Anolis sagrei: one gene and its partners. The protein of the gene in region 3 interacts with the protein of the main gene of each other region in a pairwise test. Links are inferred from orthologs where the notes say so. Each region holds a gene or a part of one and is shown on either strand. Other genes may lie near its edges. The genes, in order: PPP1CB, TACC1, SH2D4A and SORBS3.

Region 1 (7,141 bases), on a different chromosome or scaffold from region 3:
CCTCTCCTCCCCCCTCACTGAGCCTGCAAAGTGTTTTAAACCAGAGTGGATGAATTTCCTCCCTTTGCTTCTCCCCCCCCCCCCCTTCTGGAGTAAAACAACTACTTTCAAAGTAAAGACCACCCAATGAAACAGGAAATAACACTTTCAAACCATTAAGGATGAATTTGGAAGTCTCGGAAGTTTTTTGAAAAGTTTTGAACATCTTTTTCTGTGAAAATCGGAATTGACTTTAGAATTGAACCACCAGCACCCCCTACATCCGAAATGAGTTTTGAACCATTTTTTAAAATTAAGCCTAGTAGCTATGAAGGAACTAGATAAGATCTTGAAATGTCAAGATGTATTATTGCGTACTAACATTAGTATTGTCCACACCATCATATTTCCAGTTTCTATGCATGATTGTAAAAGTGAAGTAAGCTGATAGGAAGATAATGAACTCATTGAAATGTGATGTTGGAAGAGTTCTGTGAACATCCTGGGCTTCTCAAAAGACAAATAAATGTGTCCTTCAGCTGACTAAACTGAGAATGCCATACTTTGTCCATATCACGAGATGATACAACTCATGAGAAAATGCAGTAATATTTGCTAAGTTAGAAGGCAGTAGAAACAGAAGAAGATAGCATTACAGGTGGATAAACACAGTCGAGGAAGACTTGGCTCTGAGTCTGCAGGCCTGTTGAAAACGGTGATTTGGAGGTCTCTCATTCAGAAGGTTGCCATAAGGTGAGGTTGACTTCACAGCAGTTAACAATAAACCACAAAACCCTTGTGCTCAAAAAGTTAGTGACAAATATTTATTATGCAGCTATACAGACAGTGGAAAAAATCTGGATAGGTGCCACACCCTTGATACAATCATACATTTTCTAGTGGTGAAAGAAACTGTTTTAGTACTTCCTTTTCGTAAAAGAAAAAATAAGTGTGATGATGTAAGATGAAAGCAGACGAGGAAAAGAGATATAGGAAAAACTATGATCACAAAAGCACAGTTGTGGAAAGGGAGGGGGAAAAGTTTATGATTAAGATTGTTATGTATAGAGGAATGTATGGGGGAAAGGGGAAATCCTCCGACATTACAGGGAAACCCCAGGTTACAAATAAGATAGAATCTGTAGGTTATTCTTAAGTAGGGATTTGTATGTAAGCCAGAATGGGTAATTTTTTCAAATGTAATGCTATCCCAAATTGGTTTTTTAAAATTTAGGATAGTATAAGGAAGGATTAACACCCTCTAACATTTGTTTTGCTGTCTGTGCCCCTATTTAGTAGATTTCACCTCACTTTTTATCCCTTTTTCGATTTTGAAAAATTTGGGTTGTCGTGGAAACAAGGATTGGTGATAAGAATGGAGATACTTTTTTCACATGATAACTCTTCCAGGAATTGATTTTCCTCCCTGAAGGAAGATTTATTCTCACTTCCTGTTGCCTCACCCCAGGGATGTTTGTAATTTGGGGACTGCCTGTACAACCGTCGTAGCAGTATTATCATAAATAAATAATAAAAAACGAGAGGGAAATCTAATCTGATCATATACTTCACATTGTTTCACTAGTCGTGTCCTTAAGAATCTTGGCCAATGCTTACCCTATACCAGTAGTTCCCAACCTGTGGTCCGTGGACCACCAGTGGTCTGCAAGAATGAAAATATGGTCCGCGGTCTCACCATTACTACACCATTGCCTCAAAATCACGTGGCAACGAGAACGACTGGTCTCACAAAACACTCTTATAGTGCCGAGGCAACGGGGATGTTGGGAGGGGAGTGGCTGACTATCCACGAAAGATTACTACTACCACATCAGCTCTAGATTATTAAATATGGTTTTCTGTGGGCGAGCAGATGGCAACTACTGGATGGCATATGTTATGTATCAGAAACTAGAGTTGATGTGGTCTATCCAATGCAATTTTCTGAATCAGCACTCCAAATAGCTAAACCAAATCTAAAGTTGACCAAAAACCAATTCGTAACCCTTTTGGTACTAATGTTGGAGAGTGATCCCTGATCAAAGTGGCTCCTGATCAAAAAGAGATTGGGAACCACTGCCCTATATACTTAAATCCCTGATCAACCATCCGAACCATTTAGTATATTGCTCATTTGGTGTTAAGCAGGGAACTTGAAAAGAAATTGTTTGTTTGCTAGCATCCCAGATCTCTCTTATTAATTCAAAATCCCCTTGTTTCACATAATGAAGGTTCCTGCATAACATTTCTTTCTTTCTTCTTCCAGAGCAATTTGTTTCCTCTAACACTTCTTTTGCTCAACCAGCCTTTCATATTGGAGATGAGTATATACAGACTGATATTTCAACAACCAAGGAATCTCATAAATATTGATATTAGGGATGAGGACTTCATTGTGAGAGGTGCTGCCTGGAGTGAAAAAGGACACCTTTGATTTTACTAAGTATTAAATTATACTAACTGTTGAGGATGACAGACTCTCCATCTTTGGAAGTCTTTAAATAGGAGTTCCTTAGCAGTTGTACTCCCCCATATTTGGGGTTAGACTAGAGGGCTCTTTCAGTTCGAATAAGGTGAACTTTCCGGCTTTCTCATAATATGAGGCAATCATCTTTAAACATGCTGTAATATTCCTTCCCAAAGTGCAGAGTGCACACAGTGCTTGTTTTTCTTCTGAGAGAAAATAGATTTGTTGCTGTACTTAAAAGGATATAATCCTATTTTAATTCAAATTGAATTAGCTTTCCAGAGCAACTGCCTCTAATTTCTCTGATAAAAAAAGTGTTGTGTGCTTTTTCTTTAAATGTCATACAAAATAATATTTCCTCCCCTTACTTTTTTGGATAATGCATAGCTGAAAGCGAGGAGGAGTTGAGAAACCTTATAACTAAGGTGAAAGAAGAAAGTGCAAAAGCTGGGTTGCAGTGTTGTGTGGAAGGGGCCTATGAGTCCACACCGGACATGGGCAAACTTTGGCCCTCCAGGTGTTTTGGACTTCAGCTCCCACCATTCCTAATAGCCTTCAATGGGGGTTTTTTTAAAGCTGTGTGGAAGTGGCCTATGAGTCCACACTGCCATATAATCCAGCTCAGTGTGGATTGTATTCAGGTGTGGATTGTGTCCAGATGTGTGGAAAGAGCCATGAGTCTACACTGTCATATAATCCATCTCAATGTGGATTTTATACAGCTGTGTGGAAGGGGCCATTAAAGGGGCCATGAATTGTCGAAGACTTTAATGCCCAGAATCACTTGGTTGCTGTGAGTTTTCAGGGCTGCATGGCCATGTTCCAGAAGCATTCTCTCCTGACGTTTCGCCAGCATCCCCACTTTCCTAGTTTCCATCTGAGGATGCCTGCCATAGATGCCGGGGAAACATCAGGCGAATCATAGAATCAAAGAGTTGGAAGAGACCTCATGGGCCATCCAGTCCAACCCCTGCCAAAAAGCAGAAATATTGCATTCAAATCACCCCTGACAGATGGCCATCCAGCCTGTTTAAAAGCTTCCAAAGAAGGAGCCTCCACCACACTCCGGGGCAGAGAGTTCCACTGCTGAATGGCTCTCACAGTCAGGAAGTTCTTCCTCATGTTCAGATGGAATCTCCTCTCTTGAGGAAGCCACAGGGAGGAGGGAGCAAGCTTGTTTTCTGCTTCCCTGGAGACTAGGATGCGGAACAACGGCTTCAAACTACAAGAGAGGAGATTCCATCTGAACATGAGGAAGAACTTCCTGACTGTGAGAGCCGTTCAGCAGTGGAACTCTCTGCCCCGGAGTGTGGTGGAGGCTCCTTCTTTGGAAGCTTTTAAACAGAGGCTGGATGGCCATCTGTCAGGGGTGATTTAAATGCAATATTCCTGCTTCTTGGCAGGGGGTTGGACTGGATGGCCCATGAGGTCTCTTCCAACTCTTTGATTCTATGATTCTATTTGCCGCATAAAACACGCTTGGCCTGCACCTTTATTAAACCCGACTAGGCCCCAAGACCTCGGTTACCAGGATACACAAGAAAAGAGGGGGGGGGGGGAAGAGAAGCAGAGGACAGGACTCGAAGCGTCACGCATGCGCACCGCTCACGGATCGCTTGGGGAGTAAGCACAACACAGCACCGCTCTCGCGCATGCGCAGTGCTGCTTTACAAAAGGGAGGGGGAAGGGAAAGGAGGGGGAAAGGGAGGCTTGGTCTTTTTGGAGTCGAACCCGAGATTCTCCCGCGCAGTTGAGAGGCGAAAGAGGGAAGGACTCCGAGGCGCATGCGCAGCGAGGCCTAAGGCAGGCGGGGAGGAGAAGGAGGAGGAGGAGGAGAGCGGGGACCTCGTCGTCTTCTTCTCCCTCTCTCTCTCTCTCTCTCTCTCTCCCTCCTCCCTGTTTGGCGGAGCCGGTGGGAGATCCCGGGGCGGGAGGGGTCCTTGCAGGGAGCGGCCGCCTTCCCCGCCTCCTTCCTTCCTTGTCTTCGCTGAGGCGCCCTCCTTCTTCCCTTCCTTCCTTCCTTCCGTCCCCGCCCGCGACTGAGGAGTCCATTGGCTACAAAATGGCGGACGGGGAGCTGAATGTGGATAGTCTCATCACCAGGCTGCTGGAAGGTGAGTGACTGACTGAGGGAGTGAATGAAAGAGCTTTGGAGGGAGGGAGGCCCAAGAGGGGTCCCTCAAACAGAGGGGAAGGCGGCAGTCGCATTTGCCCCTGCGTATTGCGGGTTTGTGTCGGTTATTCCCCGGCGAGGGGCGAAGTTATTCCCTTTTTCGGTAGTTTCTCGCCTCAAACGTCTCCTGCGAGGCGGCCTCTGCTTTGACTCCGGTTTCAGCCAAAGAGGAGGTAGTTGTAGGAGATTGACGCTGTTGTAAATGGGGGGAAACACCTTATACTGATTGAAGATCCCTTACCCTAAATGCTCAGGGCTCAGAAGTATTTTTTATAAATTGATTTTGGAATATTTGCATATACAGAATGACATATCATGAGGAAGGGAAGAATAAGTTTATTGTACATAAACACCTTACGCACATAAAGTTTATACAGGTCGAATATCCCCTTGGCCTAAATTTGCTGGACCAAAATTTACATTAAAAAAGATCTTGTTTTGGAATACTTGCAGATATAGAGTGAGTTACCTTAGGACCCTTCACACAGCGCTATATCCCAGAATGTCAAGGCAGAAAATCCCACAATATCTGTTTTGAACTGGGTTATCTCAAAAGTTTTGAACTGGGTTATCTGAGGAGCCCCCAGTGGCACAGTGGGTTAATTTACTTTGCTTGTATACCGCAATTTCTCAGCCTTGTAGGCGACTCAACGCGGTTTACAACAAGAGCAAAAGTCAATCCAGCAGCATACAAAATTTTAAAACCATTAACAGCATAATAAACAAAATGACATATCAATAACAACACATTAACGTCTCGTAACTAGAATCGTGATCCAATTCGTCTTCCATAATTCCGTTTCCTATATTCATCGTGTACATTGCATTGTTTAACCGAACGCCTGTTCGAACAGCCAGGTTTTTAGTTTTCTTCGAAACACCATTAACGAAGGGGCTGATCTAATGTCCATGGGAAGGGCGTTCCACAGCCGAGGAACCCCTGTGCCGGCAGGACTGAAGACTGACAGGTCGCAGGCTTGAATCCAGGGAGAGGCGGATGAGCTCTCTCTATCAGCTCCAGCTCCTCGTGCGGGGCCATGAGAGAAGCCTCCCACAAGGATGATAAAAACATCAAATCATCCAGGCGTCCCCTGGGCAACGTCCTTGCAGACAGCCAATTCTCTCACACCAGAAGCGACTTGAAGATTCCCAAGTCTCTCCTGACACGACCAAAAAAACCCTGGGTTATCTGAGTCCACACTCAGATATTATTATTAACTTTATTTATACCCCACAAAATCTCCCGAAGGACTCGATGCGGCTTACAAAGGCCAAGGCCACCAACAAAACAACAGCATACAAATACAACAGTGAAACTCATAAAGCAACTAATAAACATCAAGCAAACAATAAAACACTAAAAACAATAACACCATAACGCATTAAAAACCTAATGTAATAGACAAAATTTAAAAGTGCTGGACTTGAACAGGTGATATGTAGAGGTTTTTGGAGGTAAGTGCAATGTGCAGACAATCCTAAATCTCTGACAAGGTGCATTTGGGACATAATGCCGGGAGTTTCCTATTCTGGAAAGGCACACTGGAACAGCCAGGTCTTCAAGCTCTTCCTAAAGACTGCCAGCGTTGGGGCTTGTCTGATGTCCTTGGGGAGAGAGATAATTTTTCTGCCTTGATGTTCTGGGATATAGGGCTGTGTGGAAGAACTCTAAGACTGGCCTTATATCCCAGGATTTAAACTATTATATGAGTCTGCACTGCCAGATAATCTGGGATAAACAGAAAACCCAGATTCAGACCCTGGGATACAATAATAATAATAATAATAATAACAAAGGTGGTCCCAGTGGTGGTCAGCACAGTGCCTGAAGACCTCGGCCTGCACTTAAAAACAATTGGCACTGACAAAATTACCATCTGTCAGCTGCAAAAGGCCACCCTACTTGGATCTGCACGCGTTATTCGCCGATACATCACACAGCCCTAGACATTTGAGAAGTGTCTGACGTGTAATCAAATACAAAAGCTAGCATAGTGCTCTTGTTCTCTGTGTACTAATCTTCTGTATCATATAATAATAAATTTTATTTATATCCCGCCACCATCTCCCAAAAGGGCCTTTGGGCAGCTTACGAGGCACTACAAGTGGAATATATAACATGCAGATTTTTATTATTTTATTTCATTTCATTTCATGTATTTGATTTTGTATTAATTTGTTTTGTTTATATTTCATTTGACATTATTTACTGTATGTATTTTATTTTGATTTGTTGTATTTGTAGTGCTTGGCCTCATGTTAGCCACCCTGAGTCCCCATTCGGGAGATGGTGGCGGGGTATAAATAAATTGTTGTTTATGATGATGTTGTTGTTATAAACAGTACATGAGCATAAAAATAATATCACGTAAAGTCATAAAACAACCACTATTAACACATAAAATAAAATAAAACAGTTTTAAAACTCAGACCACCTGTAGTTAAAACTAGTTGCCTTCAAATCACAACTAAAGGACCCATCTGGAAGGGCCCTTTGTATGAAATTAGTTGATGTTACATAG
Region 2 (7,409 bases), on a different chromosome or scaffold from region 3:
TGGAGTTGCACACAATACCTCCCCAAACTCATTAAACTACAACTCCCAGGAGCAGCAGGCCTTAATGCTATGTGATTATGGGAGTTGTAGTTTAATGTGTGATTGTGTGCATCTCCATTATAGAATGAATTATTATTATAATAAATAAACATAATAATAATAATAATTCATTCTACAATGGAGATGCACTCAATTTCTCATTAAACTACAACTCCCATATCCCATAGCATTGAGCCAAGGCTATTCAATGGAGCATTGAACTGAATTCATTCTATAGTAGAGATATAAACAATACTTCCCCAAACTACAACTGCCATAGCATTGAACCAGGATAATTCAAGTGTAGTCGATCGGCATTCATTCTCCAATGCAGATGCACAAATACCTCCCAAAACTACAACTCCCATAGTATTGAGCCAGGGCAGTTTAAAGGGGGATTAAACTGAGTTCATTCTCCAAAGGAGATGCACACAATACCTCCCAAAACTACAACTGTCAGGCTCAAATAGCATTGAAGAGACACACAATACCTCCCAAAAAACTACAACTCCCATACCACTGACCCAGGGCAGTTTAAAGGGGGATTAAACTGAGTTCATTCTCCAATGGAGATGCACACAATACCCCCCAAAACTACAACTGTCAGGCTCAAATAGCATTGAAGACACACACAATACCTCCCAAACTACAACTCCCACAGCATTGAGCCAAGACAATTCAAGTAGAGTCGATCTGCATTGATTCTCCAATGGATATGCACACAATACCTCCCCAAACTAGAACTTCTGGGATCAAATGGCATTGAACACACACAATACCTCCCAAAACTACAACTCCCATAGCATTGAGCCAGGGTAATTTCAAAGGGGGATCAAACTGAATTCATTCTCCAATGGAGATGCACACAATACCTCCCAAAACTACAACTGTCAGGCTCATATAGCATTGAAGACACACACAATACCTCCTCAAAAAACTACAACTCACATAGTACTGAGCCAGGGCAATGCAAGTTGAGTCTAGCTGCATTTATTCTCCTATGGAGATGCCCCCAATCTCTCCTGAAAAACTCAATGGAGATGCACCCAAGGGGGACCCCAAAGGAGCATTCCTTCTGCACCCAGCCTCTCACTAAACTACAACTCCCAAGGACCAAATAGCATTCCAGAGGAGCCCATCCATTCTCCGGTATAGGGATGCGCCTTGAGCCTGCTTGCAAGCTGGAGCACACCCATTAGGATGTTGTTGTTGTTCCTCCTCTTCGACTGACACGCGAGTGTACACGCGTCACGTGTGAGCGCGCTCTCCTCCTCTTTGGCTGACACGCGAGTGTACACACATCACGTATGAGCGCGTTCTCCTCCTCCTCCTTGGCTGACACGCGAGTGTACATGTGTCACATGTGAGTGCGCCTCTCCTCCCCCTCCTTGGCTGACACGCGAGTGTACACGTGTCACGTGTGAGCGCGTTCTCCTCCCCCTCCTCAGCTGACACGTAAGTGTACACACGTCATGTGTGAGCGTGCCCTCCTCCTCCTCCTTGGCTGACACGCGAGTGTACATGCGTCATGTGTGAGCTCGCTGTCCTCCTCCTCCTTGTCTGACATATGAGTGTACACGTGTCATGTGTGAGCGTGCTCTCCTCCTCCTCCTTGGCTGACACGTGAGTGTACACGCATCACGTGTGAGCGCGCTCTCCTCCTCCTCCTTGGCTGTCACGCGAGTGTACACGCGTCACGTGTGAGCGCGCTCTCCTCCTCCTCCTTGGCTGACACGTGAGTGTACACGCGTCACGTGTGAGCGCACTCTCTTCCTCCTCCTTGGCTGACACGCGAGTGTACACGTGTCACGTGTGAGCATGCTCTCCTCCCCCTCCTTGGCTGACATGTGAGTGTGCACGCGTCATGTGTGAGTGCGCTCTCCTCCTCCTCCTTGGCTGACACGTGAGTGTACACGCGTCACGTGTGAGCGCACTCTCCTCCTCCTCCTTGGCTGACACGCGAGTGTACACGTGTCACGTGTGAGCATGCTCTCCTCCCCCTCCATGACTGACACGCGAGTGTACACACGTCACGTGTGAGCGCTCTCTCCTCCCCCTCCCTTGGCTGACACGCGAGTATACACGCGTCATGTGTGAGCGCTCTCTCCTCCTCCTCCTTGGCTGACACGCGAGTGTGCACGCGTCACGTGTGAGCGCGCTCTCCTCCTCCTCCTCGGCTGACACGCGAGTGTACACGCGTCACGTGTGAGCGCACTCTCCTCCTCCTCCTTGGCTGACACGCGAGTGTACACGCGTCACGTGTGAGCGTGCTCTCCTCCCCCTCCTTGGCTGACACGCGAGTGTGCATGAGTCACGTGTGAGCGCGCCCTCCTCCTCTTCCTTGGCTGACACGCGTCACGTGTGAGCGTGCTCTCCTCCCCCTCCTTGGCTGACACGCGAGTGTGCACGCGTCACGTGTGAGCGCACTCTCCTCCTCCTCCTTGGCTGACACGCGAGTGTACACGCGTCACGTGTGAGCGCGCCTCTCCTCCCCCTCCTTGGCTGACACGCGAGTGTACACGCGTCACGTGTGAGCGCGCTGACGCGGGACTTGCCTGAGGCTGAGCGAGCGGGTCTCTCCTTGAGCCTCTTCTTCTTCCTCTTCCTCCTCTTCCTCGGGTCCGGACCCCCCTCCCCCTGCGGCCCCCCCTCCTCCTCGGACGGCGGACCAGGTCCACTTGGCCCACTGGACCGGCGAGAGGAGCTGCCAGGAGGCGCTGAACGCCATCGGGGCCACACGGCGTCAAAATGGAGCGGATCCGGCGCGGATGTGGTTCAGCCCAGCGCCATCCTTCCTCCTCCTCCTCCTCCTCCTCCTCCTCTGACTCCGCCTCGCAAGGCAAGACAGGCAGGGACCCTCTGACGGATGCCCAAGGAGCCGGCCTGCCTCGGTCCCGCCTCCTCCGAACCCGCCTTTCGCCCGCCCAGCCCGCATTCACACGTTACGTCGCCCAACGCGTGCAAGCAGCCAGGCAGCGGGGGCGGGGCCCGCTGCGTCAAAACGCTCCCCCCCCCTCCCGCCCCGGAGCAGAGAGGAAAGGCAGGCCCTGATTGGCCGGGAGGGAGGGGCCCCCTTCAGACGTGAGGTGGCCCCCCGACACGTGACTCACTCCCAGGCTGCATTTGACACCCTGGCAGGAATGGACTTCCACGCTACTGGAACTGCCATTCTTCAATGGAAATACACCTTCTAATTGCATGGCTCTGGGGTATGGAGTCCTGGGAGTTGTAGTTTCACAAGGTCTGGTGGGTCCTCCTTGCAAACACTATAGCTCCCAGGATTCCATAGCACTGAGCCATGCAAATACAGGGTGTATCTACACACCACAGTAACTTCTATGAAATCCTGGGAGTTGTAGTTTCACAAGGTCTGGTGGGTCCTCCTTGCAAACACTATAGCTCCCGGGATTCCATAGCACTGAGCCATGCAAATATAGGGTGTATCTACACACCACAGTAACTTCTATGAAATCCTGGGAGTTGTAGTTTCACAAGGTCTGGTGGGTCCTCCTTGCAAACACTATAGCTCCCAGGATTCCATAGCACTGAGCCATGCAAATATAGGGTGTATCTACACACCACAGTGACTTCTATGAAATCCTGGGAGTTGTAGTTTCACAAGGTCTGGTGGGTCCTCCTTGCAAACACTATAGCTCCCAGGATTCCATAGCACTGAGCCATGCAAATATAGGGTGTAACTACACACCACAGTAACTTCTATGAAATCCTGGGAGTTGTAGTTTCACAAGGTCTGGTGGGTCCTCCTTGCAAACACTATAGCTCCCAGGATTCCATTGCACTGAGCCATGCAAATAGAGGGTGTATCTACACACCACCGCAACTGCTATGAAATCCTGGGAGTTGTAGTTTCACAAGGTCTGGTGGGTCCTCCTTGCAAACACTATAGCTCCCAGGATTCCATAGCACTGAGCCATGCAAATATAGGGTGTATCTACACACCACAGTAACTTCTATGAAATCCTGGGAGTTGTAGTTTCACACGGTCTGGTGGGTCCTCCTTGCAAACACTATAGCTCCCAGGATTCCATAGCACTGAGCCATGCAAATATAGGGTGTATCTACACACCACAGTAACTTCTATGAAATCCTGGGAGTTGTAGTTTCACAAGGTCTGGTGGGTCCTCCTTGCAAACACTATAGCTCCCAGGATTCCATTGCACTGAGCCATGCAAATATAGGGTGTATCTACACACCACAGTGACTTCTATGAAATCCTGGGAGTTGTAGTTTCACAAGGTCTGGTGGGTCCTCCTTGCAAACACTATAGCTCCCAGGATTCCATAGCACTGAGCCATGCAAATATAGGGTGTATCTACACACCACAGTGACTTCTATGAAATCCTGGGAGTTGTAGTTTCACAAGGTCTGGTGGGTCCTCCTTGCAAACACTATAGCTCCCAGGATTCCATAGCACTGAGCCATGCAAATATAGGGTGTATCTACACACCACCGCAACTGCTATGAAATCCTGGGAGTTGTAGTTTCACAAGGTCTGGTGGGTCCTCCTTGCAAACACTATAGCTCCCAGGATTCCATAGCACTGAGCCATGCAAATATAGGGTATATCTACAGACCACCGCAACTGCTATGAAATCCTGGGAGTTGTCGTTTCACAAGGTCTGGGGGGGTCTTTGCTAATTAGTGCCCGAGCCTCGACAAACTACAGCTCCCATAGCATGGAGCCATGGAAATATTGGGAATCTTATCTACATTGAAGGATACCACTGTAACTTCTCTAGCATCCTGGGAGTTGTAGTTTCACAAGGTCTGGAGTCTTCTTTGCAAACATAGCACTGAGCCATGCAAATATAGGGTGTCTCTACACACCACCACGACTGCTATGAAATCCTGGGAGTTGTAGTTTGACATGGTATGGTGGGTCTTCTTTGCTAATTAGTGCTGGAGCCTCGACAAACTACAGCTCCCATAGCATGGAGCCATGCAAACATTGGGAATCTACCTACATTGAAGGATATCACTATAACTTCTATGGCATCCTGGGAGTTGCAGTTTCACAAGGTCTGGTGGGTCTTCTTTGCTAATAAGTACTGGAGCCTCGACAAACTACAGCTCCCATAGCATGGAGCCATGCAAGCATTTGGAGTTTATTTACATTGAAAGACACCACTATAACAACTATGGGAGTTGTAGTTTCACAAGGTCTGGAGTCTTCTTTGCCACCACTATAGCTCCCAGGATTCCATAGCACTGAGCCATGCAAATATAGGGTGTCTCTACACACTGCCGCAACTGCTATGAAATCCTGGGAGTTGTAGTTTGACAAGGTCTAGGCAGGTCTTCTTTGCTAATTAGTGTTGGAGCCTCGACAAACTACAACTCCCATAGCATGGAGCCATGCAACTATTGGGAGTTTATCTACATTGAAGGATATCACTGTAACTTCTCTGGCATCCTGGGAGTTGTAGTTTCACATGGACTGGAGTCTTCTTTGCCACCACTATAGCTCCCAGGATTCCATAGCACTGAGCCATGCAAATATAGGGTATATCTACACGCCACAGCAATTGCTATGAAATCCTGGGAGTTGTAGTTTGACAAGGTCTAGGGGGTCTCTTCTTTGCTAATTATTGCTCGAGCCTCGACAAACTACAGCTCCCATAGCATGGAGCCATGCAAACATTGGGAGATTATCTACATTAAAAGACACCACTATAACAACTATGGAGTCATGGGAGTTGTAGTTTCACAAGGTCTGGGTCTGGAAGCAAAAAGCAAAGGAAGGAAGGAAAGAGGTAGAGAAGCAAGGAGAGAAAGAGGGAGGGAAGAAGGAAAGACAGAAGGAAGGATGGAAGCAAAAAGCGAAGGAAGGAAGGAAACAGGTAGAGAAGCAAGGAGAGAAAGGGAAGGAAAAGAAAAAAGGGGGAAGGAAAGAGATAGAGGAGGAAGGAAGGAGAGAAGGAAAGAAGAAAAAGGAAGGAAAGAGAGAGCGAAGAAAGAAGGGAAAGAAGAAGAGAGGGAGGGAAGGAAAGATGGAAGGATGGAAGCAAAAAGCGAAGGAAGGAAGAAAAGAGATAGAGAAGGAAGCAAGGAGAGAAAGGGAAGGAAAAGAAAAAGGGGGAAGGAAAGAGGTAGAGAAGGAAGGAAGGAGAGAAGGAAAGAAGAAAAGGGGAGGAAAGAGAGCGAAGAAAGAAAAGAAAGGAGAGAAAGAGGGAGGGAGGGAAGGAAAGAAGGAAAGACAGGATGGAAGCAAAAAGTGAAGGAAGGAAGGAAGGAAGGAAGGAAAGAGATAGAGAAGGAAGGAGAGAAGGAAAGAAGAAAAGGGGAGGAAAGAGAGAGCGAAGAAAGGAGAGAAAGGAGAGAAAGAGGGAGGGAAGGAAAGACAGAAGGAAGGATGGAAGCAAAAAGCGAAGAAAGGAAAAAAAGAGGTAGAGAAGGAAGCAAGGAGAGAAAGGGAAGGAAAAGAAAAAGGGGGAAGGAAAGAGATAGAGGAAGGAAGGAGAGAAGGAAAGAAGAAAAGGGAAGGAAAGAGAGTGAAGAAAGAAGGAAAAGAAGGAGAGAAAGAGGGAAGGAAAGATGGAAGGATGGAAGCAAAAAGTGAAGGAAGGAAAAAAAGAGGTAGAGAAGGAAGCAAGGAGAGAAAGGGAAGGAAAAGAAAAAGGGGGAAGGAAAGAGATAGAGGAGGAAGGAAGGAGAGAAGGAAAGAAGAAAAGGGAAGGAAAGAGAGTGAAGAAAGAAGGAAAAGAAGGAGAGAAAGAGGGAAGGAAAGACGGAAGGATGGAAGCAAAAAGTGAAGGAAGGAAAAAAAGAGGTAGAGAAGGAAGCAAGGAGAGAAAGGGAAGGAAAAGAAAAAGGGGGAAGGAAAGAGATAGAGGAGGAAGGAAGGAGAGAAGGAAAGAAGAAAAGGGAAGGAAAGAGAGTGAAGAAAGAAGGAAAAGAAGGAGAGAAAGAGGGAAGGAAAGACGGAAGGATGGAAGCAAAAAGTGAAGGAAGGAAAAAAAGAGGTAGAGAAGGAAGCAAGGAGAGAAAGGGAAGGAAAAGAAAAAGGGGGAAGGAAAGAGATAGAGGAGGAAGGAAGGAGAGAAGGAAAGAAGAAAAGGGAAGGAAAGAGAGTGAAGAAAGAAGGAAAAGAAGGAGAGAAAGAGGGAAGGAAAGACGGAAGGATGGAAGCAAAAAGTGAAGGAAGGAAAAAAAGAGGTAGAGAAGGAAGCAAGGAGAGAAAGGGAAGGAAAAGAAAAAGGGGGAAGGAAAGAGATAGAGGAGGAAGGAAGGAGAGAAGGAAAGAAGAAAAGGGAAGGAAAGAGAGAGCGAAGAAAGAAGGGAAAGAAGGAGAGAAAGAGCGAGGGAAGGTTGGCCACAGCAACGTGTGTCGTGGTGGGTACAGCTAGTAA
Region 3 (7,096 bases):
TATTTCCATATTTCGTCTTTTGGCTTTCTTAATTGGAGTAAACATTCTGTATTCAGGGGCTACCTTTTGCTCTGAAGTCAAACTAAATGAAGTCAAACAAGACAGAGGCACTCCTGGTCAGTTGTAAGGCCGAACAGGGCATAGGGTTACAGCCTGTGTTGGATGGGGTTACACTCCCTCTGAAGATGCAGGTTCACAGTCTGGGTGTGATCCTGGATTCATCGCTGAGCCTGGAACCCCAAGTTTTGGCAGTGACCAGGGGAGCATTCGCCCAGCTAAATCTTGTGCACTAGCTGTGCCCATACCTTTGGAAGCCTAACTTGGCTCTGGTTACATCTCGTATAGACTACTGTAATGCACTCTACGTGGGGTTGCCTTTGAAGACTGTCCAGAAGCTTCAAATAGTCCAATGGATGGCAGCCAGAATGCTAACAGGAGCGGCCCTCAGGGAGCATACAACTCCTATGCTGCACCAGCTCCACTGGCTGCCAGTCTGCTACTAGGCACAATTCAAAGTGCTGGCTTTAGTCTATAAAGCCCTAAATGGTTCTGGCCTGACTTACTTGTCTGAATGCATCTCCCCTTATGAACCATCTGGGCCTTAGATTCTAGGACTTTGAGATCGTCTGGGGAGGCCCTGCTCTCAATCCCGGCTTCATCACAAGTATGTTTGGCGGGGACGAGAGACAGGGCCTTCTCTGTGGTGGCCCCTCGGCTATGGAACACCCTCCCTAAGGAGATTAGATTGGCTCCCTCACTCTTAACATTTCGGAGACAAGTTAAGACATGGTTATATGAGCAAGCGTTTACAAATGCAGGGTAACTGATATAGGAAATGGAATCACTTGACAACGGATTTTGGACAACGTTTTTAACTAGGAGACACTAATGATCAAGGGTCTGGAGAACAAGCCCTATGAGGAGCGGCTTAAGGAGCTGGGCATGTTTAGCCTGAAGAAGAGATGGCTGAGAGGAGATATGATAGCCATGTATAAATATGTGAGAAGAAGCCACAGGGACGAGCAAGCTTGTTTTCTGCTTCCCTGGAGACTAGGACGCGAAACAACGGCTTCAAACTACACGAAAGGAGATTCCATCTGAACATGAGGAAGAACTTTCTGACTGTGAGAGCCGTTCAGCAGTGGAACTCTCTGCCCTGGAGTGTGGTGGAGGCTCCTTCTTTGGAAGCTTTTAAACAGAGGATGGATGGCCATCTGTCAGGGATGATTTGAATGCAATATTCCTGCTTCCTGGCAAGGGGTTGGACTGGATGGCCCATGAGATCTCTTCCAACTCTTTGATTCTATGATTCTATGGTGTTGGTTTTATTGTTTTTATTGTGATTTCATATTGTTCAATGCTTAATCGGTATTTTGCTATTATGTGTACTGACTTGTTGTAAACTGCTTTGAGTCGCCGATAGGCTGAGAAAGGCGATATACAAGTATAGTTAGTAAATAAATAAGTAATAAACTTTATTTATACCCCGCCACCATCTCGCCAATGGGGACTCAGAGCCGTTTACATGGGGCCAAGCCCGAATGACAAATTACAGCAAAATAAAACCAAAACATAAACAACAAGCAACATCATCAAAATTGCATTAAAAAAAGATATGAGTACAGTAACAAAATAACATTATAATAAACATAATCGCAGTAACAGTGGGTAGGTCACATGTACAGGATAAAATGTTAAAAAACTCTAATGAGATAAAAATAGGAGCAAGTTATTTGCAGGGAGCTCAAAAAGAAACACAGGGTTGTGAAACTAAACTTCCCATTTGGGGGAGGGGGCATGTACTCTAGTGACAGAAGCATTGAGGGGAGCAATAGGGTCATGTTGCACCTACTCACCAAAGGCGCAGCGGAAGAGCCAGGTTTTAAGGTTCTTTTTAAACGTTTCTAGTGTAGGGGCTTTCCTGATCTCTCCAGGTAATGAGTTCCAGAGTCAGGGGGCCACAGAGGAGAAGGCTCTTTCCCTCACTACGGTGAGGTGGATCAGTAATTGGTTAAATGGACAAACCCAGAAGGTGCTCACCAATGTTTCCTCTTCATCCTGGAAAGAAGTGACGAGTGGAGTGCCGCAGGGTTCCGTCCTGGGCCCGGTCCTGTTCAACATCTTTATTAATGACTTAGATGAAGGGCTAGAAGGCAGGTTCATTAAGTTTGCAGATGACACCAAATTGGGAGGGATTGCCAATACTCCAGAGGACAGGAGCAGGATTCAAAACGATCTTGACAGATTAGAGAGATGGGCCAAAACTAACAAAATGAAGTTCAACAGTGACAAATGCAAGATACTCCATTTTGGCAGGAAAAACGAAATGCAAAGATACAGAATGGGGGACGATGCCTGGCTCGAGAGCAGTACGTGTCAAAAAGATCTTGGAGTCCTTGTGGACAACAAGTTAAACATGAGCCAACAATGTGATGTGGGGGCAAAAAAAGCCAATGGGGTTTTGGCCTGCATCAATAGGAGCATAGTGTCTAGATCAGGGGTCCTCAAACTAAGGCCTGGGGGCCGGATACAGCCCTCCAAGGTCATTTACCCGGCCCTCGCTCAGGGTCAACCTAACTCTGAAACGATTTGAAAGCACACAACAACAACAACAACAACAACAACAATCCTATTTCATCAGCCAAAAGCAGACTCACACTTCCCACTGAAATACTATTAAGTTTACATTTGTTAAAATTGTTATTCATTTTAATTATTGTATTGTCTTGTTAAGGGTTTTTTTGCAATACATATAAGATATGTGTAGTGTGCATAGGAATTAATTCATGTTTTTTTTTTTCAAATTATAATCCGGCCCTCCAACAGTTTGAGGGCCCATGACCTGGCCCTCTGTTTAAAAAGTTTGAGGACCCCTGGTCTAGATCTAGGGAAGTAATGCTACCCCTCTATTCCGCTTTGGTTAGACCACACCTGGAATATTGTGTCCAATTCTGGGCACCACAATTCAAGAGAGATATTGACAAGCTGGAATGTGTCCAGAGGAGGGCGACTAAAATGATCAAGGGTCTGGAGAATAAGCCCTATGAAGAGCGGCTTAAGGAGCTGGGCATGTTTAGCCTGAAGAAGAGAAGGCTGAGAGGAGATATGATAGCCATGTATAAATATGTGAGAGTAAGCCACAGGGAGGAGGGAGCAAGCTTGTTTTCTGCTGCCCTGGAGACTAGGACGCGAAACAATGGCTTCAAACTACAAGAGAGGAGATTCCATCTGAACATGAGGAAGAACTTCCTGACTGACAGCCGTTCAGCAGTGGAACTCTCTGTCACGAAGTGTGGTGGAGGCTCCTTCTTTGGAAGCTTTTAAACAGAGGCTGGATGGCCATCTGTCAGGGGTGATTTGAATGCAACATTCCTGCTTCTTGGCAGGGGGTTGGACTGGATAGCCCATGAGGTCTCTTCCAACTCTTTGATTTTATGATTCTATGAAACTAAACTTCCCATGAGGCAGTGACAGAAGTGTTGAGGGGAGCAATAGTGTCATGTTGTCCACCTACTCGCCAAAGGCGCAGCGGAAGAGCCAGGTTTTAAGGTTCTTTTTAAACGTTTCTAGTGTAGGGGCTTTCCTGATCTCTCCAGGTAATGACTTCCCGAGTCGGGGGGCCACAGAGGAGAAGGCTCTTTTCCTTGTGCCCACAAGACGGGCTTGTGAAATTGGCAGGGGCGAAAGGAGGGCCTCCCCGAAGATCGAAATAAATAAACATCAATGCAATGAACCTGTCCGTTTAAAAATGTAAATAGCAGTTGTGTGTGTGCAGAGGGGGAAGCATCAAAGCAGCCTTTACACCACACTATTGATCCGATCAGAACCTCATTCCCACCCAGTTCTGCTATTTTCACCCTTATTCATGCTGGGAACTCTGGTGTGTATTTCCGTTCACGCAGAAGATAAATTATATCTCACTCCTTGACACTGGTGTTTACTGACATTGGCCCTATCACTTTTTCTGTGGGCGTTTGGCACCGGCCAGAACTTTACTTTCTTAAGATTTGTGAGACAGGAAAGGGTTAGGGTTCACCTCTTTACAAGCCATCCCTTCACTTCCTGGTCTCATAACAGAACGGCTTGCTGAGTCAGAGAGGTAAGCCACACCTGTGACTTTAGCAGCCAGTGCTTAAAAGCAGAGGGGACTTCCACGAGGCATCAGATCTGAACACTCCTCTCTGGTCCTCGTTGCGGCTGCTTTATATTCATTACCTTGAACAAACGCCCTGCTTATTCCAGGACACAAGGGCTCGGTTTTGGTGTAAGTGTTGCCAAGTCTTCCTTTTCTTTGTGTTCTTTGAGCTCTTTGTTTACTTTGTCAGTCCTTGCAGGAAATCCAAGAGCTAAAAGTAGGTTGCAGTCGCCGTGAGAGTAATTGCGATGTGGAGAGCCTGCATTCCTGCTGTATCTTAAGGGTGGGGAGAGATTTTTGTCTCCCCTTTGGCCACTGATGTGTTTCTGCTGGAAAGGCGGCAGAGAAAGTGACTTCTTCCTTCTCTTCTCTCCTCAGATCAGCCTTCTCTTCTTCTTGCTCCTACTCCTTCCTCTCTGTGAGAAGCTTCTTCTACAACCATGCTGAAGCAAATCCTGGCCGACATGTATGTGGACCCAGAGCTGCTGGCAGAGCTCAGTGAAGAGCAAAAGCAGATCTTGTTCTTCAAGATGAGGCAGGAGCAGATCCGAAAGTGGAAGGAAAGAGAAGATGTGGCCACTGTGCCGAAACCAGTGCGGAAGGCAGGTCAGTGTGTGAGCCCAGGAGGAAAATGGGATTATCTAGCCTGGCTTCAGAAGGAGTAAAGAAGGCTGAGAGGGGACATGATAGCCGTGTTTTAATATCTGGAAGGATGTCACATTGAGGAAGTTGCATACTCGTTTTCTTTTGTTTTGGGGATTAGGATGCGGATCAACGGATTCAAATTCAAATTGCAGGGGAAAAGATCATAATAATAATCTCTCCGTTCTTGTGGGTTTTTTCGGGCTATATGGCCATGTTCTAGAGCAGTGGTTCTTAACCTTCCTAATGCCGCGACCCCTTAGTACAGGTTCCCACGTTGTGGTGACCCCCAACCATAATGTCATTTTCATTGCTACTTCTTTAATTTTGCTACTGTTGTGAATCGTAATATAAATATCTGATATGCAGGATATATTTTCATTCACTGGACCAAATTTGGCACAAATACCCGAAACGCCCCAATTTGAATACTGGTGGGGTTGGAGGGGATTGATTTTGTCATTTGGGAATGTTGGAATTGCTGGGATTTATAGTTCACCTAAAATCAAAGAGCCTTCTCAACTCCATCAATGATGGAATTGAATCAAATTTGGCACACAGAATTCCCATGGCCAAGAGAAATACTGGGAGAGTCTGGTGGACACTGACCTTGAGTTTTTGGAGTTGTAGTTCACCTATATCCATATCACACTGTGGACTCAAACAGTGATGGATCTGGATCAAACTTGGCACAATATACCCAAATGTGAACACTGGTAGAGTTTGGATAAAATAGACCTTGCCATTTGGGAGTTGTAGCTGCTGGGATTCATAGTTCACCCACAATGAAATAGCATTCTGAACCCCACCAATGATAGAATTGGACCAAACTTCCCATGCAGAACACCCATGACAAAGAGAAAATGTTTCCTGATGGTCTTTGGTGACCCCTCTGACACCCCCTCGCGACCCCCACAGGGGTCCCGACCCCCAGGTTGAGAACCACTGTTTTAGAGGCATTTCTCCTGACGTTTCGCCTGCATCTATGGCAAGCATCCTCAGATAATATAATAATAATAATAATAATAATAATAATAATAATAATAATAAACTATTTAAAAACAGCAATATCAGAGATCAAAAGCCCGTCGAAACAGATATGTCTTCCATGCCCTGCGGAAAGTTGATGTCCCGCAAGGCTCGGACTTCAGGTGGCAGAGTATTCCAGAGTGATGGTGCCACTGCTGTAAAGGCTCTGCGTCTGGTTGCTGTTAGACGCAAGGTCTTGACACGGAATTTCCAATAAATCTTGGTCCTCAGAACGGAGGGATCTCTGGGGTTGGTAGGGGGTGAGGCGGTCCCTCAGGTACATCGGCCCTAGATGTAGGGCCTTAAAGGTGAGTACCATCACTTTGAAAATATAATTCATACACACAGAGATATAGTATTATAATAATAATAATAATAATAATAATAATAATAATAATAACAACAACAACAACAACACTTTATTTGTACCCTGCTACCATCTCCCCAATGGACTCGGTGCGGCTTACATGAGGCCGAGCCCAAACACAACAATACAAGCAATAATAACAACAATACAAGCAATTAAAAAAACATAGACAATAAAATACACAACATTATCAATAAAACAACACATAATTAAAAACAGTGGGAAGGCCAAATGTAGAGTTAAAATTGGAAATAATGCTGGGACATGAACGAAAGGTGATACTGGTGTTTGTGGAAGGGCATACGAGCAGACTTAAAGATATGTAAAGTGCTATGGGATCATTATTCCGGGAAGGCACACTGGAACAGCCACATCTTCAAGCTCCTCCTGAAGACTGCCAGAGTTGGAGCCTGTCTGATGTCTTTAGGGAGTGAGTTGCAGAGTCGAGGGGCCACCACCGAAAAGGCCCTCTCTCTCCTCCTCACCAATCGCGCCTGCGATGCTGGTGGGATCGAGAGCAGGGCCTCTCCGGATGATCAAAGGGATCGTGTGGGTTCGTATACAGAGATGCGGTCACGCAGGTAGGCGGGTCCTAAACCGTTCAGGGCTTTGTAGGTAAGAACCTGCACCTTGAATTGGGTCCAGTAGATGAATGGCAGCCAGTGGAGCTCCTTGATTCCATCTACACTTTAGGAAGAACTTCCTGCCAGTAGTGGAATATACAATAATAATAATAATAATAATAATAATAATAAAACTTTATTTATATACCGCTTCATCTCCTTGAGGGGACTCAGAGTGGTTCCCAGGTAACATCACAAAACATACAAAGTAAAAACAACATAACCATAAGTGGGTTGTTGTAGGTTTTTTCGGGCTATATGGCCATGGTCTAGAGGCATTCTCTCCTGATGTTTCGCCTG
Region 4 (7,524 bases), on a different chromosome or scaffold from region 3:
AGCTTAGCATCCAAGAACACACACGGTCTGGTGCCTTTTGGATATTTTGGTGCCTTGTGTATTTTATCTGTGTCTTATCAGTGCTATCCTGGAAGTACTTTTTGCTCACATAGCTTATGCGTTGGAATCTTCAGGAAATGTTCAAGAACACATTGCTTTGGAATGTGGGATCCCAGGGGACCGCTTCTCGATGCCTCCGGTCACAAACGGCAGGGCTTGGATCCATTTCTGGGCTTCCCATCAGGCCCTTGTCTGGCAGCCAAATGGAGGCATTGCCGTCTCTGATTCCCATGGAAGGAATGATGCGGCCTCAGGAGCACCCCTCTCCAAGGGATGATTAGATAACATGCGCAAAACAGGGGTGTGGCGGCACATTGGGAGCCATGCAGGAAATACGCAGAGAGAATAGAGCTCTGGACACGTCCAGTTCCACATGTTCCCAGCAAAAAGCTTCGGAAATCAAATGGTGGGGAATGAACTTAAACAGGGAAAATCTATCCCTTTTTTTTTTGTCCAAACTGACCTCTAGATCGGAGCTTCCCAAACATTCTTAGGCATGCATCGCAACATGGCGATTCAGTTTTACTTGCAAACCGAGGGTTCAACCAACCCCCTTATATCAGTGTTTCTCAACCATCCTAATACTACAACCCCTTAATATAGTTCCTTAATATGTTGTGGTGACCCAAAAGCATAACATTATTTTTGTTGATACTCCATGACTGCAATTTTGCTCCTGTTATGAATCGTAATGTAAATATGCTGATATGCAGGATGTATTTTCATTCACTGGATCACATTTGGCACAAAGACCCGATATGCCCAATTCTATGATTCTATCCCACAGGTCAAAGGCCACAGGTCCGAACAGGTATCCCCCAGCTTCACCAACTGGGAGTGACTCTCCGGGAAGAAGCGGAGCCACTGCAGTCTACAAAGATAGCCTCCCTCCAATATAGTCAGACTCAAGATGGGGATGTGGCAGGATAAATGGGCCTTTCCATTGCAAAGCTGCCCAAGGGAGCTTCTCACACCAAAAATGATGCCAGGGAGTTAAAGGAGCAAGGCGGAGAAGCAAGCCGTCTTCCCACAGCTGGTGCATTGCCCACAGCAAGGTCACTGCCTGGCCACGTTCCTGTGCCAGCGCAGGGGGTGCATGCCTGTTGTGTCTGGCCTTCCGCTGTGACAATGCAACCCATTTCACATTAATTATTCAGCCCCAAACAAGGCTGTACAGTGTGCTCCGTTGCACAGCTGCATTCCTGCCCGGGCGCATAAGACCGGACGGGGGAGGAGAGGGAGCCAAGGTTTCTGTGTGGGCAACAAACTCATACACTCCTAGAGTTCGAGGAGACCACAAAGTCCGTCCAGTGTGCAACCCTTTCTGCCAGGCAGGAACACACAATCAAAGCAGGCCCAACAGATGGCCATCCAAGCCTACAAAAACTGCACCAGACTCCAAGGTGGAAACTCTGTCAGGAAGTTCTTCTTAATGCAATGTTCCTCATCCTTCCTAATGCCGCGACCCCTTAATACAGTTCCTCACGTTGTGGTGACCCCCAACCAGAACATTCTTCATAAATATGTTTTTGCTGTTGTTATGAATTGTAACGGCGCTCCATGCAGCCATGCCCGCCACATGACCTTGGAGGTGTCTACGGACAACGCTGGCTCTTCGGCTTAGAAATGGAGATGAGCACCACACCCCAGAGTCAGACATGACTGGACTTAATGTCATGGGACAACCTTTACCTACCTATGAATTGTAATGGAGATATCTGATATGCAGGATCAGGCCCGTAGCCAGGATTTTGATTCAGGGGGTGCTGAGTTTGGCCCATTTCTATCATTGGTGGGGTTCACAATGCTCTGTGATTGTAGGTGAACTATAAATCCCAGCAACTACAACTCCCAAATGTCAAGATTCTATTTTCCCAAACCTAAGCAATGTTCACATTTGGGCATATTGAGTATTTGTGCCAACTTTGGTCCAGATCAATCGTTGTTTGAGTCCACAGTGATCTCTGATTGTAGGTGAACTACAACTCCAAAACCAAAGGACTCTGCCCATCAAACCCTTCCAGTATTTTCTCTTGGTCATGGGAGAACTGTGTGCCAAATTTGGTTCAATTCCATCGTTGGTGGGGTTCAGAGTGCTCTTTGATAGTAGGTGAACTATAAATCCCAGCAAACTACAACTCCCAAATGACAAAATCATTTTTTTTAGTGAAGGACATACATTGGGTTGTTAGGTGTCTTGTGTCCAAATTTGGTGTCAATTTACCCAGTGGTTTTTGAGTTCTGTTAATCCCACAAACGAACATTACATTTTAATGTATATACTAGCCGTCCCCTGCCACGCATTGCTGTGGCCCACATGGGGGTTCTGTGTGGGAGGTTTGGCCCAATTCTATCATTGGTGGAGTTCAGAATGCTCTGTGATTGTAGGTGAACTATAAATCCAAGCAACTACAACTCCCAAATGTTAAGATTCTATTCCCCCCAAACTCCACCAGTGTTTACATTTGGGCATATTGAGTATTTGTGTAGAGTTTGGTCCAGATCTCTCATTGTTTGAGTCCACAGTGATGGGAGAACTGTGTGCCAAGTTTGGTTCAATTCCCGCGTTTGTGGGGTTCAATATGCTCTTTGATTGTGGGTGAACTATAAATCCCAGCAACTACAACTCCCATATGACAAAATCCATTTTTTGAGTGATGGTCACTCCTTAGGTTAGTAGGTGTCTTGTATCCAACTTTGGTGTCAATTCGCCCAGTGGTTTTTGAGTTCTGTTAATCCCACAAACGAACATTACATTTTTATTTATAGACTAGCCATCCCCTGCCACGAGTTGCTGTGGCCCAGTCTGTGTATATATGTTTTGGGTGTGTGTATATGTGTGTATAAGGTAAAGGTAAAGGTAGTCCCCTGACATTAAGTCCAGTCATGTCTGACTCTGGGACTCTGGTGCTCATCTCCATTTCTAAGCCGAAGAGCCAGCGCTGTCCGTAGACACCTCCAAGGTCATGTGGCCATTGGCATGACTGCATGGAGCGCCGTTACCTTCCCGCCGGAGCGGTACCTATTGATCTACTCACATTTGCATGTTTTCGAACTGCTAGGTTGGCAGAAGCTAGGGCTGACAGCAGAAGCTCACGCCACTCCCTGGTATCGAACCTGTGACCTTTCGATCAACAAGCTCAGCAGCTCAGTGCTTTAACCCACTGCGCCACCGGGGGCTCCATATGTGTGTATATATTTGTGTATATGTGTGTTTGCGTATATATATGTGTGTGTGTGTGTGTGTATGTGTGTGTGTGTGGTTTTGTGCATGCATTGTAATGTATTTTTTCAGTGTTTTTCTGAGTGATGGTCACTCGTTGGCCTGAGAGGTGCCTTGTGTCCAAATTTGGTGTCAATTCGCCCAGTGGTTTTTGAGTTACGTAAGTCCCACAAACGAACATTACATTTTTATTTATAGACTAGCCGTCCCCTGCCATGAGTTGCTGTGGCCCAGTCTGTGTATATGTGTTTTGGGTGTGTATATATGTGTGTATATATTTGTGTATATGTGTGTTTGCGTGTGTGTGTGTGTGTGTGTGTGTGTGTGTATATATATATATATATATATATATATATATATATATATATATGTGGTTTTGTGCATGCATTGTAATGTATTTTTCAGTGTTTTAGGAGTGATGGTCACTCGTTGGCCTGAGAGGGGTCTTGTGTCCTAATTTGGTGTCAATTCGCCCAGTGGTTTTTGAGTTACGTCAATCCCACAAACGAACATTACATTTTTATTTATAGACTAGCCGTCCCCTGCCACGAGTTGCTGTGGCCCAGTCTGTGTATATGTGTTTTGGGTGTGTATATATGTGTGTATATATTTGTGTATATGTGTGTTTGCGTGTGTGTGTGTATATATATATATATATATATATATATATATATATATATATATGGTTTTATGCATGCATTGTAATGTATTTTTTCAGTGTTTTTCTGAGTGATGGTCACTCGTTGGCCTGAGAGGTGCCTTGTGTCCTAATTTGGTGTCAATTCGCCCGGTGGTTTTTGAGTTACGTCAATCCCACAAACGAACCTTACATTTTTAGGTTCTTGTGGGTTTTTTCGGGCTATAGAGCCATGTTCTAGAGGCATTTCTCCTGACGTTTCGCCTGCATCTATGGCAAGCATCCTCAGAGGTAGTCAGGTCTCTGAGGATGCTTGCCATAGATGCAGGCGAAACGTCAGGAGAAAAATTGCCTCCAGAACATGGCTCTATAGCCCGAAAAAACCCACAAGAACCTAGTGATTCCAGCCATGAAAGCCTTCGACAAGACATTAAATGTTTATTTATAGATATGGAGTTACACTTAGAAAATGTACCTGTTCCGACTTACATACAAATTCACCCGAGGAACAAACCTACAGAACCTATCTTGTTCATAACTTGGGGACTGTATTAAAGCCACCCTCTCCTTTTGTTACCCACCCAGGGCATCTCGTCTAGTGAGCGTCATCCTCGTCTTGGTCCTGGAGGCCCTCTCTCCTCCTCCTCCTCCTCCTCCTCCATCGCAGCAGAGATGCCCAGCCTCATCTCTAGGGCCGGGGCCCCCGAGGCCAACCTGGGACTCAGCCTGGACGACTTCATCCCTTCGCACCTCCAGAGGAGCTCCCCGTTTGCCCACAGCTCCAGCCTGATATCTCCTCAGGCCACATCTACTCCGCAAGGCAGTCAAGTCCCTTCGCGACGCAGGGTGAGTTTTGGGGAACTTGCCACACAAACATTTCAGAGAAACAGAGTCGTTTGTTTCCCAAGGGTTCGTCTACACTGCAAAAGTAATGCAGTTTGAACCCACTTAAACATGTTATGGAATCCTGGGGGTTGTGCTGGTGCTTCACCAAACTACAACTCCCAGGATCCCACAGCATTGACTGTGTAGACATGGGCAAACTTGGGCCCTCCAGGTGTTTTGGACTTCAACTCCCACAATTCCTAACTTACTTACTTAGGCGATCCCTTATAGTCCGAGGATGATGGTCCTCCAAGGTAGGTGTTCTGGTTGTGGGCCCATAGGTGACTGTGGAGCCCAATTCTTGATCTGCATCTTCTCCCACAGTGAGGGCATTGGTTTCCAGATGGAAGGCCAGTGGTTCTCAACCTGGGGTCCCCAGATGTTTTTGGCCTACAACTCCCAGAAATCCTAACAGCTGGTAAACTAGCTGGGATTTCTGGGAGTTGTAAGCCAAAAACATCTAGGGACCCCAGGTTGAGAACCACTGCGGTAGGCGGTCCTGGTCAGGGTTGGTTTGATACGCCTTCCTCTTGGCATGTTTCTCTCTTTCACCCTCCATTCGTGCCTCTTCAAATTCTGCAGCACTGCTGGTCACAGCTGAACTCCAGCTGGAGTGATCAAGGGGCAAAGATATCCCAGTTCTCAGTGTCTGTGCCAGGGTTTTTAAAGTTGGCTTTGAGCCTATCTTTCAATCTCTTTTCCTGCCCACCAACATCTGTTTTCCGTTCTTGAGTTCAGAGTAGAGCAACGGCTTTGGGAGACGGTGGTGGGGCATCCGGATGATGTGGCCAGTCCAGCAGAGTCGATGGCAGAGGAGCATCACTTCAATGCTGGTGGTCTTTGCTTCTTCCAGCATGCTGATATTGTCCGCTTGTCTTCCCAAGAGATTTGCAGGATTTTCCGGAGGCAGCGCTGATGGAATCGTTCCAGGAGTTGCATGTGACGTCTGTAGACAGTCCATGTTTCGCAGGCATAGAGCAGGGTTGGGAGGGGAATGGCATCTTGGTCTCCCTACAGATGTCCCGGTCCTCAAACACTCTCTGCTTCATTCGGGAAAATGCTGCACTCGCAGAGCTCAGGCGGTGTTGTATTTTGGTGTCGATATTGACTTTGGTGGAGAGGTGGCTGCCAAGGGAGCAGAATGGTCCACATTTTCTAATGTTACACTATTAAGCTGCATTTCTGGCATTGGAGAGGGTTGGCTGGTGACTTTTGCTGGAAGAACACATTGGTTTTCTCGATGTTTAATGACAGGCCGAGCTTCTCATATGCTTCTGCGAAGGTGTTTAGAGTGGCTTGTAGGTCTTCTTCTGAATGCGCACAGACGATGTTGTCATCAGCATACTGGAGTTCTATGTAGTTGTAATTTTAGTTTTTGCTTTCAGTCTGCTGAGATTAAACAGCTTGCCATCTGTCTGATAGATGGATTGTTGTAGGTTTTTTTGGGCTATATGGCCATGTTCTAGAGGCATTCCTCTAGAGAATGCCTCTAGAACATGGCCATATAGTCCAAAAAAACCTACAACCCAGTGATTCTGGCATGAAAGCCTTCAACAATACATTGTCCAATAGATGATTTCCACTCCAGTGGGAAGCTTCCCATCAACAAGATGAAGTATCATAGCGATGAAGATGGAGAATAAGGTTGGGGCAATAACACATCATCCCTGTTTGACACCCGATTCCACCTTAAATGGGTCACTTTGGGAGCCATTGCTGTCCAAGACTGTTGCCATCATGTCATCATGGAGGAGCCGCAGGATTTTCACAAATTTTTTAGGGAACCCAATTTTTTGGAGGCCCAGAGAGCGCTGTTAGGAATTGTGGGAGTTGGAGTCCAAAATACCCAGAGGGCGCATGTTTGCTCATACCTGATGTAGATTGTGCCGTTGCGCCTGGGGGCTCTTATTCTCAATAAAGGAGGGATGGACGTGGCACCTTTCCCCCAGGGGATTGTTTCTTGCCCTCCTATAGGAAACTGGAACTCCCAAAAACCCAAAACGCTGTAAATAGCTCAAAATAAGTTTTATTTATCACAAAGTCATTTCTTTAAAGCAATGAGCTGGAAAACTTTAGAGGGGTGAAGGAAAACATATATTACAGTCTCAATCAGTCCTGGGTCCAAGGGGTTTGAAGCTGAGAAGCCTCTCCAAGTTTCCTCTTTCCTCAATGGCTGTGAATGCTGGGGCAAACCACAACCCCAGTTCAGATGGCCTATGTTTTGAAGATTCGGGATCTTCCTTTGGTGCCAAAAGAACCGACTTGAAGGCGCCTGGGTCTCCTCAATAATTGTCCAGGATGATCTGGACATAAAGCATGAGTCCCAGGGGTAAAAAACCTCAGAACTGATGCTAAGAGGTAACTTAAATCAGGGTCCTTTAGAATCAAGTCTTTTACTCATGTCCATCTGGTACGAACTCTGATGGCAGAATGAAGAAGAAAAAGGAAGTTCTCCCCTCTTGCAGGAAGAGGTGGAGCCAAACAGTACTGATTGACAGCTACAAGCAACCAATCCATACAACTATACATAAGCAGTGTTAAAAAGGGGCAGGATTAAGCATGATACAACAGTTTAAGTCTTACAACTAACAGTTCTATACATAGGTGGTGCCACTCGCACCGTCACAAGATGCATTCATAGTCTGCAATCCATACTCGCCAATCTGCGACAAAAATTGCAATGTTTTGTGCTGTGTCCCATTGTGAGCAACCAGCCATA

What was found.
Region 1: the proteins of SH2D4A (region 3) and PPP1CB interact in binary tests that used the Homo sapiens proteins (3 or more experiments, as listed by UniProt). The two-hybrid records come from large-scale screens. The link is inferred for Anolis sagrei from reciprocal best matches to the Homo sapiens genes SH2D4A and PPP1CB.
Region 2: the proteins of SH2D4A (region 3) and TACC1 interact in binary tests that used the Homo sapiens proteins (3 or more experiments, as listed by UniProt). The two-hybrid records come from large-scale screens. The link is inferred for Anolis sagrei from reciprocal best matches to the Homo sapiens genes SH2D4A and TACC1.
Region 4: the proteins of SH2D4A (region 3) and SORBS3 interact in binary tests that used the Homo sapiens proteins (3 or more experiments, as listed by UniProt). The two-hybrid records come from large-scale screens. The link is inferred for Anolis sagrei from reciprocal best matches to the Homo sapiens genes SH2D4A and SORBS3.

The regions. Positions count from the first base shown.
Region 1 is NC_090021.1:42,777,162-42,784,302, reverse strand, and holds the start of PPP1CB (serine/threonine-protein phosphatase PP1-beta catalytic subunit), read left to right. Parts: upstream 1-4,136; 5' UTR 4,137-4,508; coding exon 4,509-4,560; intron 4,561-7,141. UniProt on the Homo sapiens protein: Protein phosphatase that associates with over 200 regulatory proteins to form highly specific holoenzymes which dephosphorylate hundreds of biological targets.
Region 2 is NC_090027.1:2,516,252-2,523,660, reverse strand, and holds the start of TACC1 (transforming acidic coiled-coil-containing protein 1), read right to left. Parts: upstream 3,001-7,409; 5' UTR 2,768-3,000; coding exon 2,595-2,767; intron 1-2,594. UniProt on the Homo sapiens protein: Involved in transcription regulation induced by nuclear receptors, including in T3 thyroid hormone and all-trans retinoic acid pathways. Might promote the nuclear localization of the receptors.
Region 3 is NC_090026.1:55,294,544-55,301,639, forward strand, and holds the start of SH2D4A (SH2 domain-containing protein 4A), read left to right. Parts: upstream 1-4,096; 5' UTR 4,097-4,264; intron 4,265-4,345; exon of another isoform or gene 4,346-4,418; intron 4,419-4,513; 5' UTR 4,514-4,575; coding exon 4,576-4,741; intron 4,742-7,096. UniProt on the Homo sapiens protein: Inhibits estrogen-induced cell proliferation by competing with PLCG for binding to ESR1, blocking the effect of estrogen on PLCG and repressing estrogen-induced proliferation. May play a role in T-cell development and function.
Region 4 is NC_090027.1:1,016,642-1,024,165, reverse strand, and holds the start of SORBS3 (vinexin), read left to right. Parts: upstream 1-4,509; 5' UTR 4,510-4,592; coding exon 4,593-4,766; intron 4,767-7,524. UniProt on the Homo sapiens protein: Vinexin alpha isoform promotes up-regulation of actin stress fiber formation. Vinexin beta isoform plays a role in cell spreading and enhances the activation of JNK/SAPK in response to EGF stimulation by using its third SH3 domain.